Linked DNA regions of Oryctolagus cuniculus. The protein of the gene in region 1 purifies or fractionates together with the protein of each later gene. This does not show direct contact. Links are inferred from orthologs where the notes say so. Each region holds a gene or a part of one and is shown on either strand. Other genes may lie near its edges. The genes, in order: CCT4 and TLE2.

Evidence for each region.
Region 2: the proteins of CCT4 (region 1) and TLE2 purify together in Homo sapiens (affinity purification with mass spectrometry; 3 studies listed by BioGRID and IntAct, with this or other methods). This does not show direct contact. The link is inferred for Oryctolagus cuniculus from reciprocal best matches to the Homo sapiens genes CCT4 and TLE2.

Annotation. Positions count from the first base shown.
Region 1 is NC_091433.1:140,930,404-140,934,201, forward strand, and holds part of CCT4 (T-complex protein 1 subunit delta), read left to right. Parts: intron 1-788; coding exon 789-928; intron 929-3,406; coding exon 3,407-3,503; intron 3,504-3,590; coding exon 3,591-3,701; intron 3,702-3,798. UniProt on the Homo sapiens protein: Component of the chaperonin-containing T-complex (TRiC), a molecular chaperone complex that assists the folding of actin, tubulin and other proteins upon ATP hydrolysis.
Region 2 is NC_091447.1:59,642,601-59,647,149, forward strand, and holds the start of TLE2 (transducin-like enhancer protein 2), read left to right. Parts: upstream 1-1,742; 5' UTR 1,743-2,001; coding exon 2,002-2,025; intron 2,026-2,109; coding exon 2,110-2,207; intron 2,208-2,404; coding exon 2,405-2,468; intron 2,469-3,725; coding exon 3,726-3,770; intron 3,771-4,549.

The DNA.
Region 1 (3,798 bases):
AGTGAACTTGGTTCCTCTAAATGGGTCATTTGTTCATTAAAATGAAAACAGAAAATGCTGTAATTAAAAAGCAAAGATTTCAAAAGAATTAATAAAATAGAGACATAGAAATTGTTGATGACACATGTAACAAATATATCGCCTCAACTGAATATTCACTGAAATTGAATTCTGACTTGAAGACAAATAACAGGGATATAAAAATGTATTGTAAGTTATATGTGGAATTTGCAGATTGTTTCTACCTTTCTGAGAATGGAAACTTTCACCAGTCCACTAACTTGGGTATCTCTTGTTCTACATTTGTACAAATGGAACTTTAGTTCAATACCTGTACTCTGAAGAAATTGCTTTTTACTTAAGGTATTTCCCTTTTAGTCATGAATGCCATTCTCTGAAGGGGGGGAGGGTTGTCACCTTATGTAAGTTTGCTCTCCTGTTTTACGTGTTGATATAGATAAGATTTCTGCTATTTTCTCAGTGTAGTATTTTTATTACAAGCAATAAAATTAAAAGGATTGAACTAAAATTTCTATAATACAATTTTCTTGATGTGGAAAAAATGACATTCAAGAAATAGAATATTTATTTTACTTTTTTTAATATGAAAAGTATAAATAAGGCAACAGTTGAAAACACTCGAGTTTGGAATACATATCTCCAGGCCTTTTTCTTTGCCGATCTATTTTTGACTATGATTTAGGTGAATTTAGTTGGAACAGCGTGAGAGTCTTAACTTCACTTAAAATTTCTTTACCAATGCAAATCATTGATTCTTTTGTAAACAGATGGATAATCAAATAGTCGTTTCTGACTATGCCCAGATGGACCGAGTGCTACGAGAAGAGCGAGCCTATATTTTAAACTTAGTGAAGCAAATTAAGAAAACAGGCTGTAATGTCCTTCTCATACAGAAGTCCATCCTAAGGTAGGAGGCTGTTTGCTTTGTTCATTCTTTAATAGCATTTATTTTGAAAGATTTATTTATTTATGTGAAAGTCAAAGAGAAGAAGAGGCAGAGAGAAGTCTTCCATCTGCTGGTTCACTCTCCAGTTGGCCACAACGGCCAGAGCTGGGCCGATCCAGAGCCAGGAGCTTCTTCCAGGTCTCCCACACGGGTGCAAGGCCCCAGGGACTTGGGCCATCTTCTACTGCTTTCCCAGGCCATAGCAGAGAGCTGGATTGGAAGTGGAGCAGCTGGGACTCGAACCGGCGCCCTTATGGGATGCTGGCACTGCAGGGGACAGCTTTACTGGCTACACCACAGCGCCGGCCCCAATAGCGTTTTTTGTTTTTTTTTTTTAGATTACTTACGGGCCACCTGCAACACCAGCATCACATATTGTGCTGGTTTGAGTCTTGGCTGCTCCACTTCTCCAGGGAACAGTTTGGGAAAAGCAGAGGAAGATGGCCCAAGTACTAGGGCTCCTGGCTTTGGCTTGGCCTAGCCCATGTTGTCACAGTCATCTGGGGAGTAAGCCAGCAGATGGAAGATGTGCCCCCCGCCCCTGTGTAACTCTTAACCTGAAATAAAGAAATCTTCAAAAAAAAAAAAAAATGTTACTTGAAAAGCAAAGTTAGAAGGAGAGACAGAAATCTTCTATCTGTAATGATCAGGGTTGGGCCAGGCCAAAGCTTGGGTCTTCATCTTGTTCTCCTATGTGGGTGGGAGAGGTCAAGTACTCAGGCCATTCTCCATTGCTTTCTCGGGTACATTAGCAGGCAATTGAATGGGCAGTGGAACAGCCAGAACTTAACTGGCACTCATGGGTAGCGACTTAACCTGCTGCACCACAATGCCAGCCCTGCCTTAATTATTGATTTTGGATCGCTGCTAGCAATTTTTTATGGGTAAACCACTAAAAATCTAGAATGAATCTGCATTTGGGGTGTCAAACAAATGAATAAATCTAAAAGAAACCTTTATTTAGGTATCTGTACAATTACTGGCCTTGAAATTTGAAGTTCCTTTGAGGAGAGTGCTTTGCATAGTCCAGATACTAAAGAATTGAAGTTGGTGTTGTGGCACATCCCACAATGAAGGGTCAGCTCAAGTCCCAGCTGTTCCACTCCCATCCAGCTTCTCGCTAATGTTCCTGGAAAGGTAGCAGCTGATGTAATTGGGACCCTGCCATCCATGTGGGAGACTGAATGGAGTTTCTGGCTGTTGGCGGCCATTTGGGGAATGAGCCAATAGATGGAAAATTCTGTCAGTCTGCCTTTTGAAAAAAATGGATAAATAAAAACCTTTCTACTCTGAAAAAATAGAAAAAATGAACTATCCAGTTTCACTTAATCTGTTTTTTCCTAATAGGTATGCATATTCTCATTTATTGATGAATAGGCCAGAAAGACTGTGGGTGCTCATCTTTAATAGATCATGTGAAGGCTTGGAAGACTTGTTTTTAATAAATAATTAATGTTAAAGCAAATGTAAACTGAGTAAATTGCTCATCTTTCCAAAAGGTATAAATTTATGGAGTCCAGGCTATAGTCATACTACTTTTTAAAAATAAAATTAAGGGCCGGCGCCGTGGCTCAATAGGCTAATCCTCCACCTTGCGGCGCCGGCACACCGGGTTCTAGTCCCGGTTAGGGCGCCGGATTCTGTCCCGGTTGCCCCTCTTCCAGGCCAGCTCTCTGCTATGGCCAGGGAGTGCAGTGGAGGATGGCCCAGGAGCTTGGGCCCTGCACCCCATGGGAGACCAGGAAAAGCACCTGGATCCTGGCTCCTGCCATCGGATCAGCACGGTGCGCCGGCTGCAGCGGCGGCCATTGGAGGGTGATCCAACGGCAAAGGAAGACCTTTCTCTCTCTGTCTCTCTCTCTCACTGTCCACTCTGCCTGTCAAAAAAAAAAAAAAAAAAAAAAAAAAATTAAGAAAGATTCATTCATATGAAAGAGTTACAGAGGAAGAAATAGAAGGAGATCTGTTCCATCAGCCTGTTCACACCCCAAACAGCCACAATGGCCATGGTGGGGCCTACTTGAAGCCAGGAGCCTGGCCCTCCATCCAGATCTCCCACATGAGTGGCAGAAACCCAAGTGTTTGGGCCACCACCTACAACTTTGCAGATGCATTAGCAGGAAGCTGGATTGGAAATGTGGATAAGCTAGGACTCAACACTAGGCACTCAGATATGGGGTGCAAGGACCCAAAGCTTGCTGCACCATAAGGCCTGCAAAAGGGGAATATATTTTAGTGTTAGAATTTCAGTGAAATTTCCAGTATAATTGGAAATTGTTTTAAGACTTTTGAGCTTATAACTGATATTTAGAGCATTTTTCTTCAGAAATAATATTGACCATTTTAACAGTAAAATAATTAAAAGAAGTTGAACAGCAAAATGGGGGATTTTGTTTTTGTTTTACCTAGCATTAGCTTAATCACTGATTTGTATTTTAGAGATGCTCTTAGTGATCTTGCATTACATTTCCTGAACAAAATGAAGATTATGGTGATTAAGGATATTGAGAGAGAAGACATTGAATTCATTTGTAAGGTAAAATGTTAACACCTCTCTCTATGTATATAAAATTCCCAGTATTAAAATACATGTCTTAATTTTTGGATTGTACTGTTTTTCCAGACAATTGGAACCAAGCCAGTTGCTCATATTGACCAGTTCACTGCTGATATGCTGGGTTCTGCTGAGTTAGCAGAGGAGGTCAATTTAAACGGCTCTGGCAAACTGCTCAAGGTAACAGTATCATAATGAAGCTTTTATTTGGTGAGGGCCTTTTTTTTTTTTTTTTTTTTTTAATTTTCACTTCAGATGCCTAATTTAGTTTGTTTAC
Region 2 (4,549 bases), on another chromosome or scaffold:
GAGAGAGGGAGAGAGGGAGAGAGAGAGAGAGAGGTCTTCTCTCCGCTGGGTCACTCCCCAGATGGCCGCAACGGCCAGAGCTGTGTCGATCCGAAGCCAGGAGCTCCATCCGGGTCTCCCCGGCAGGTGCAGGGGCCCAAGGACGTGGGCCATCGTCCACTGCTCTCCCAGGCCACAGCAGGGAACTGGATCAGAAGAGGAGCAGCCGGGACTCGAACCTGCGCCCACGTGGGATGCGGGCGCTGCAGGCGCGTGTGAGCGGGAACGGAGGGCAGGGCTGTGGGCTGTGGGCGTCCCCGGGGGCAGCAGGGAGCCCAGGCGCACCCGCCGGGCAGGGAGCCTCTGCCCCGCACTCCCGCGGCCTCCCCACCTCTCCCTGCCCGTGTCAGCCCCCTCCCAGCCAACCCCGCCTCCCCGAGCTCTCCCTTTGCCCACACGATTGTGTAGCGGCCACGCAGCCACGCGGCCACGGGCACTCCCGCCTGCTCTGTCCCAGGACTGCCCCAGAGCGGGGCGGCCAGGAGTCCTGTCCCTCGTCCGTCCGGTCTCCCTGGCGCCTGGACGGGACCTGGGACAGCTACGAGAGGATATCTGGCCATGGCTTAAGAAAGATGCCTTAGGGGCCGGCGCTGTGGTCCAGCGGGTAAAGCCCCGGCCTGCAGTGCCATGTGGGAGCGGGTTCGAGTCCCGGCTGCTCCACTTCCCATCCAGCTCCCTGCTGTGGCCCGGGAAAGCAGTAGAAGATGGCCCCAGTGCTTGGGCCCCTGCACCCGCGTGGGAGACCCGGATGGAGCTCCTGGCTCCTGGCTCTGGATCAGCTCAGCTCCGGCCGTTGCGGCCAAGTGGGGAGTGACCCAGCGGATGGAAGACCTCTCCTCTCTCCAACTCTGCCTCTCTCTGTCTGTAACTCTACCTCTCAAATAAATTAAATCTTAAAAAAAAAAAAAGTTCTGTGAAAGGAGACCTACGGAGCCCCAGACCTTCCCTGTGCCGGGTCACTCCCCAGATGGCCACAGTGGCCTGGGCAGGAGCCTGGGACTCCCCGAGGTGGCCCTCGCTGGTGCAGGGGCCCCAGCAGGCGGGGTGGGGGGAGCAGGCAGCGGCTGAGGGCTGAGCACGGCCGGCCCCAGAGAAAGAGGCCGCCTGCAGGTGAGGGCCTGGGCCCCGGCGCCCTCACCGGCCCAGTACACGGCCCAGGGCAGCCTTGTGGGCTGTGCCCCAGTTCCTGGAGCTGCAGGTGGGCTCCCTGCGTGTTTGTTGATTGACTTAAGGATTGACTTAAAGACAGCGGGTGAGGAGGGGGGAACAGTGAGGCCGTGGGGGGCCAGCAACTGGCTCTGGTCCCAGCCCAGCCCCGCGTGAGCGCCCCTGGCCTGGCAGGTGTCCCCCTCCCCCCACCAAGGCCCTGACACCTGAGGCCAGGGCCGCCCACCCCGGACGCCCCCTGCCCTCGCGGCTGCTCCCGCTCCGGGCCTGGGCGTCTGTTTTCTCGGCTCTTCCGCTCCCGGCCTTGGCGGCGGGTGGGCGGGCGGGTAGGTGGGTGGGTGCGGGGCGCCAGCGTCCCCACCGGGCAGGGAGCAGAGAGGGGTCCCGGGGTTGCGGGTGGGAGGGCAAAGTTGTTGCGGGGCTGGCGGGGGCGGGGGCGCCGCGCCGCGCGGGCGGGGCGGGGGCGGCGGCGCCACCTTAAGCGGCTCTGCCCGCGGCTCCCGGCCGAGCCCCGCCGGAGGGAGGCGGCTCCGCGCGGGGCCCGCGCCGCCCGCGCCGCCACCGCCGCCGAAACCCGGCTGCGCCCGCGCCCCGACCTTCCGCGCCCCGCGCCGCCGCTCGTCCCCGCCACCCGGGCCGCTCGCGGGGGCGCCCGCCAGGGACTCCCGGGCGCTGCCCCGCGCGCTCTGTCGCCCTCCCGCTTTTTCCCCGGACCCCCCCCCCCAACCCGCCGCGGTCGCCCCGCGCCCCCTCCCCATATTGTCCGGCGCGGGGGGTGCGTCTCAGCGCTGCAGGATGTACCCCCAGGGCAGGCACCCGGTGAGTGGGGGGCCTCGGGCGGCGGCGGGGGAGTCCCCGGCGCCCGGGACCCTGACGTCCCCCCTGCCCTAACCCCTCCCCCAGACCCCGCTCCAGTCGGGCCAGCCCTTCAAGTTCTCCATCCTGGAGATCTGTGACCGCATCAAAGAGGAATTCCAGTTCCTGCAGGCACAGTACCACAGGTGCGGGGGAGGGGCGGGCAGGGGGCGCGGGGTGCACCTGGAGGGGCGGGGCCGGGCTGGGGAGGCAGGTGAGGTGCGGTGTGGGGGGGCTCTGAGGTCAGGGAGGGGTGGCGAGGAGGAGGGGAGACCCAGGCCGCACTTTGGAAACTGGCCCCCCCGCGGGGTGCTGGGGGACCCCGCACCCCGTGTCCTCGCAGTCTCAAGCTGGAGTGCGAGAAGCTGGCCAGCGAGAAGACGGAGATGCAGCGGCATTATGTCATGGTGAGCCCCCCCCCGCTCCTCGTCATGGTGAGGGCCCCCCCCCGCTCCTCATCATGGTGAGGCCCCCCCCCGCTCCTCGTCATGGTGAGGGCCCCCCCTCCTCGTCATGGTGAGGGCCCCCCCTCCTCGTCATGGTGAGGGTCTCCCCCTGCTCCTCGTCATGGTGAGGGCCCTCCCAGCTCCTCATCATGGTGAGGGTCCCCCCCCTCCTCGTCATGGTGAGGCCCCCCCAGCTCCTCGTCATGGTGAGGGTCCCCCCAGCTCCTCGTCATGGTGATGGACCCCCCAGCTCCTCATCATGGTGAGGGCCCTCCCAGCTCCTCATCATGGTGAGGGTCCCCCCCCTCCTCGTCATGGTGAGGGTCCCCCCCGCTCCTCGTCATGGTGAGGGTCCCCCCCACTCCTCATCATGGTGAGGGTCCCCCCCCAGCTCCTCGTCATGGTGAGGGCCCCCCCGGCTCTCGGCCTCCTCTCGCCCCCACCTGTGCCCTGGGCTGTCTCTCAGGGTCACTCCAGGGAGACCAGGGGGCACTGACCCCAGGCTGCCCCCTCCCCCACTCAGGGGGGTCTCTGCTGGGGGCCCTGTCCTGCTGTGCCCCTCCCCCAGCCTCGGGCTCCTGTAGACCCGGGTCCCTGAGCTGCTCTCTCCCCGGCCGGGGGCTCCTGTAGACCCGGGGTCCCTGAGCTGCCCTCTCCCCGGCCGGGGCTCCTGTAGACCCGGGTCCCTGAGCTGCTCTCTCCCCGGCCGGGGGCTCCTGTAGACCCGGGGTCCCTGAGCTGCCCTCTCCCCGGCCGGGGCTCCTGTAGACCCGGGGTCCCTGAGCTGCCCTCTCCCCGGCCGGGGGCCCCTGTAGACCCGGGTCCCTGAGCTGCCCTCTCCCCGGCCGGGGGCTCCTGTAGACCCGGGTCTGTGAGCTGCTCTCTCCCCGGCCGGGGGGCTCCTGTAGACCCGGGTCCCTGAGCTGCTCTCTCCCCGGCCGGGGGCTCCTGTAGACCCGGGGTCCCTGAGCTGCCGTCTCCCCGGCCGGGGGCTCCTGTAGACCCGGGGTCCCTGAGCTGCTCTCTCCCCGGCCGGGGGCCCCTGTAGACCCGGGTCCCTGAGCTGCCCTCTCCCCGGCCGGGGGCTCCTGTAGACCCGGGTCCGTGAGCTGCCCTCTCCCCGGCCGGGGGCTCCTGTAGACCCGGGTCCCTGAGCTGCTCTCTCCCCGGCCGGGGGCTCCTGTAGACCCGGGTCCCTGAGCTGCCCTCTCCCCGCAGTACTATGAGATGTCCTACGGCCTCAACATCGAGATGCACAAACAGGTGAGGGGGGGCTGGGAGCGGGGCTGGGGGCCGTGCCAGCCTCTCTCGGCTTCTGAGCCGGGCGGGCGGAGGGCAGGGTCCCGGCGTCCCCGTGGTTGAGGACGGCCGGGCCGGGGGCCGCGTGCACAGTCTCGGGCCTGCTGGGTCTGAGATGGCCCCCGAGACGCTGGTGCACTTCCGAGGTTCTGAGGTCGAGCCGGGAGGCGCGGGCCGGGGCTGCGAGGTGGCTCTGCGGGCCGTGCGCTCCGTGTCGTGGTTCAGGCTGACCAGGTATTGCCACGGTAGACCTCAGGGTTCTGAGATAGCCCTCGGGTTCTGGGATTGACCCAGGGCTCTAGACTTCCGCGTGAGCTGGGTGCTGAGCTGACTTCCCGAGCTGAGGGATTTGGTGTCGCGATTCTGAGATAGCCCGCGAGGTTCTGAGATTGACCCTCATGCCGGGAGGTTCTGAGGTTTTTGTTTGTTTGTAAGACTGATTTATTTATTTGAAAGGTAGGGTTGTGAGGCGGGGGGAGGTCTTCCATCTGCTGGGTCACTCCCCAAATGGCCACCATGTCCGGAGCTGGGCTGATCCACAGCCAGGAGCCAGGGGCTCCATCCGGGTCCCCCACGCAGGTGCAGGGGCCCAGGGACTTGGGCCATCGTCCACTGCTTTTCCAGGCCACAGCAGGGAGCTGGATTGGAAGTGGAGCAGCCGGGACTCGAACCGGCGCCCATAGGGGATGTGGGCACTGCAGGCGGCGGCTTTACCCGCTGCGCCACACGCCGGCCCTGAGTTT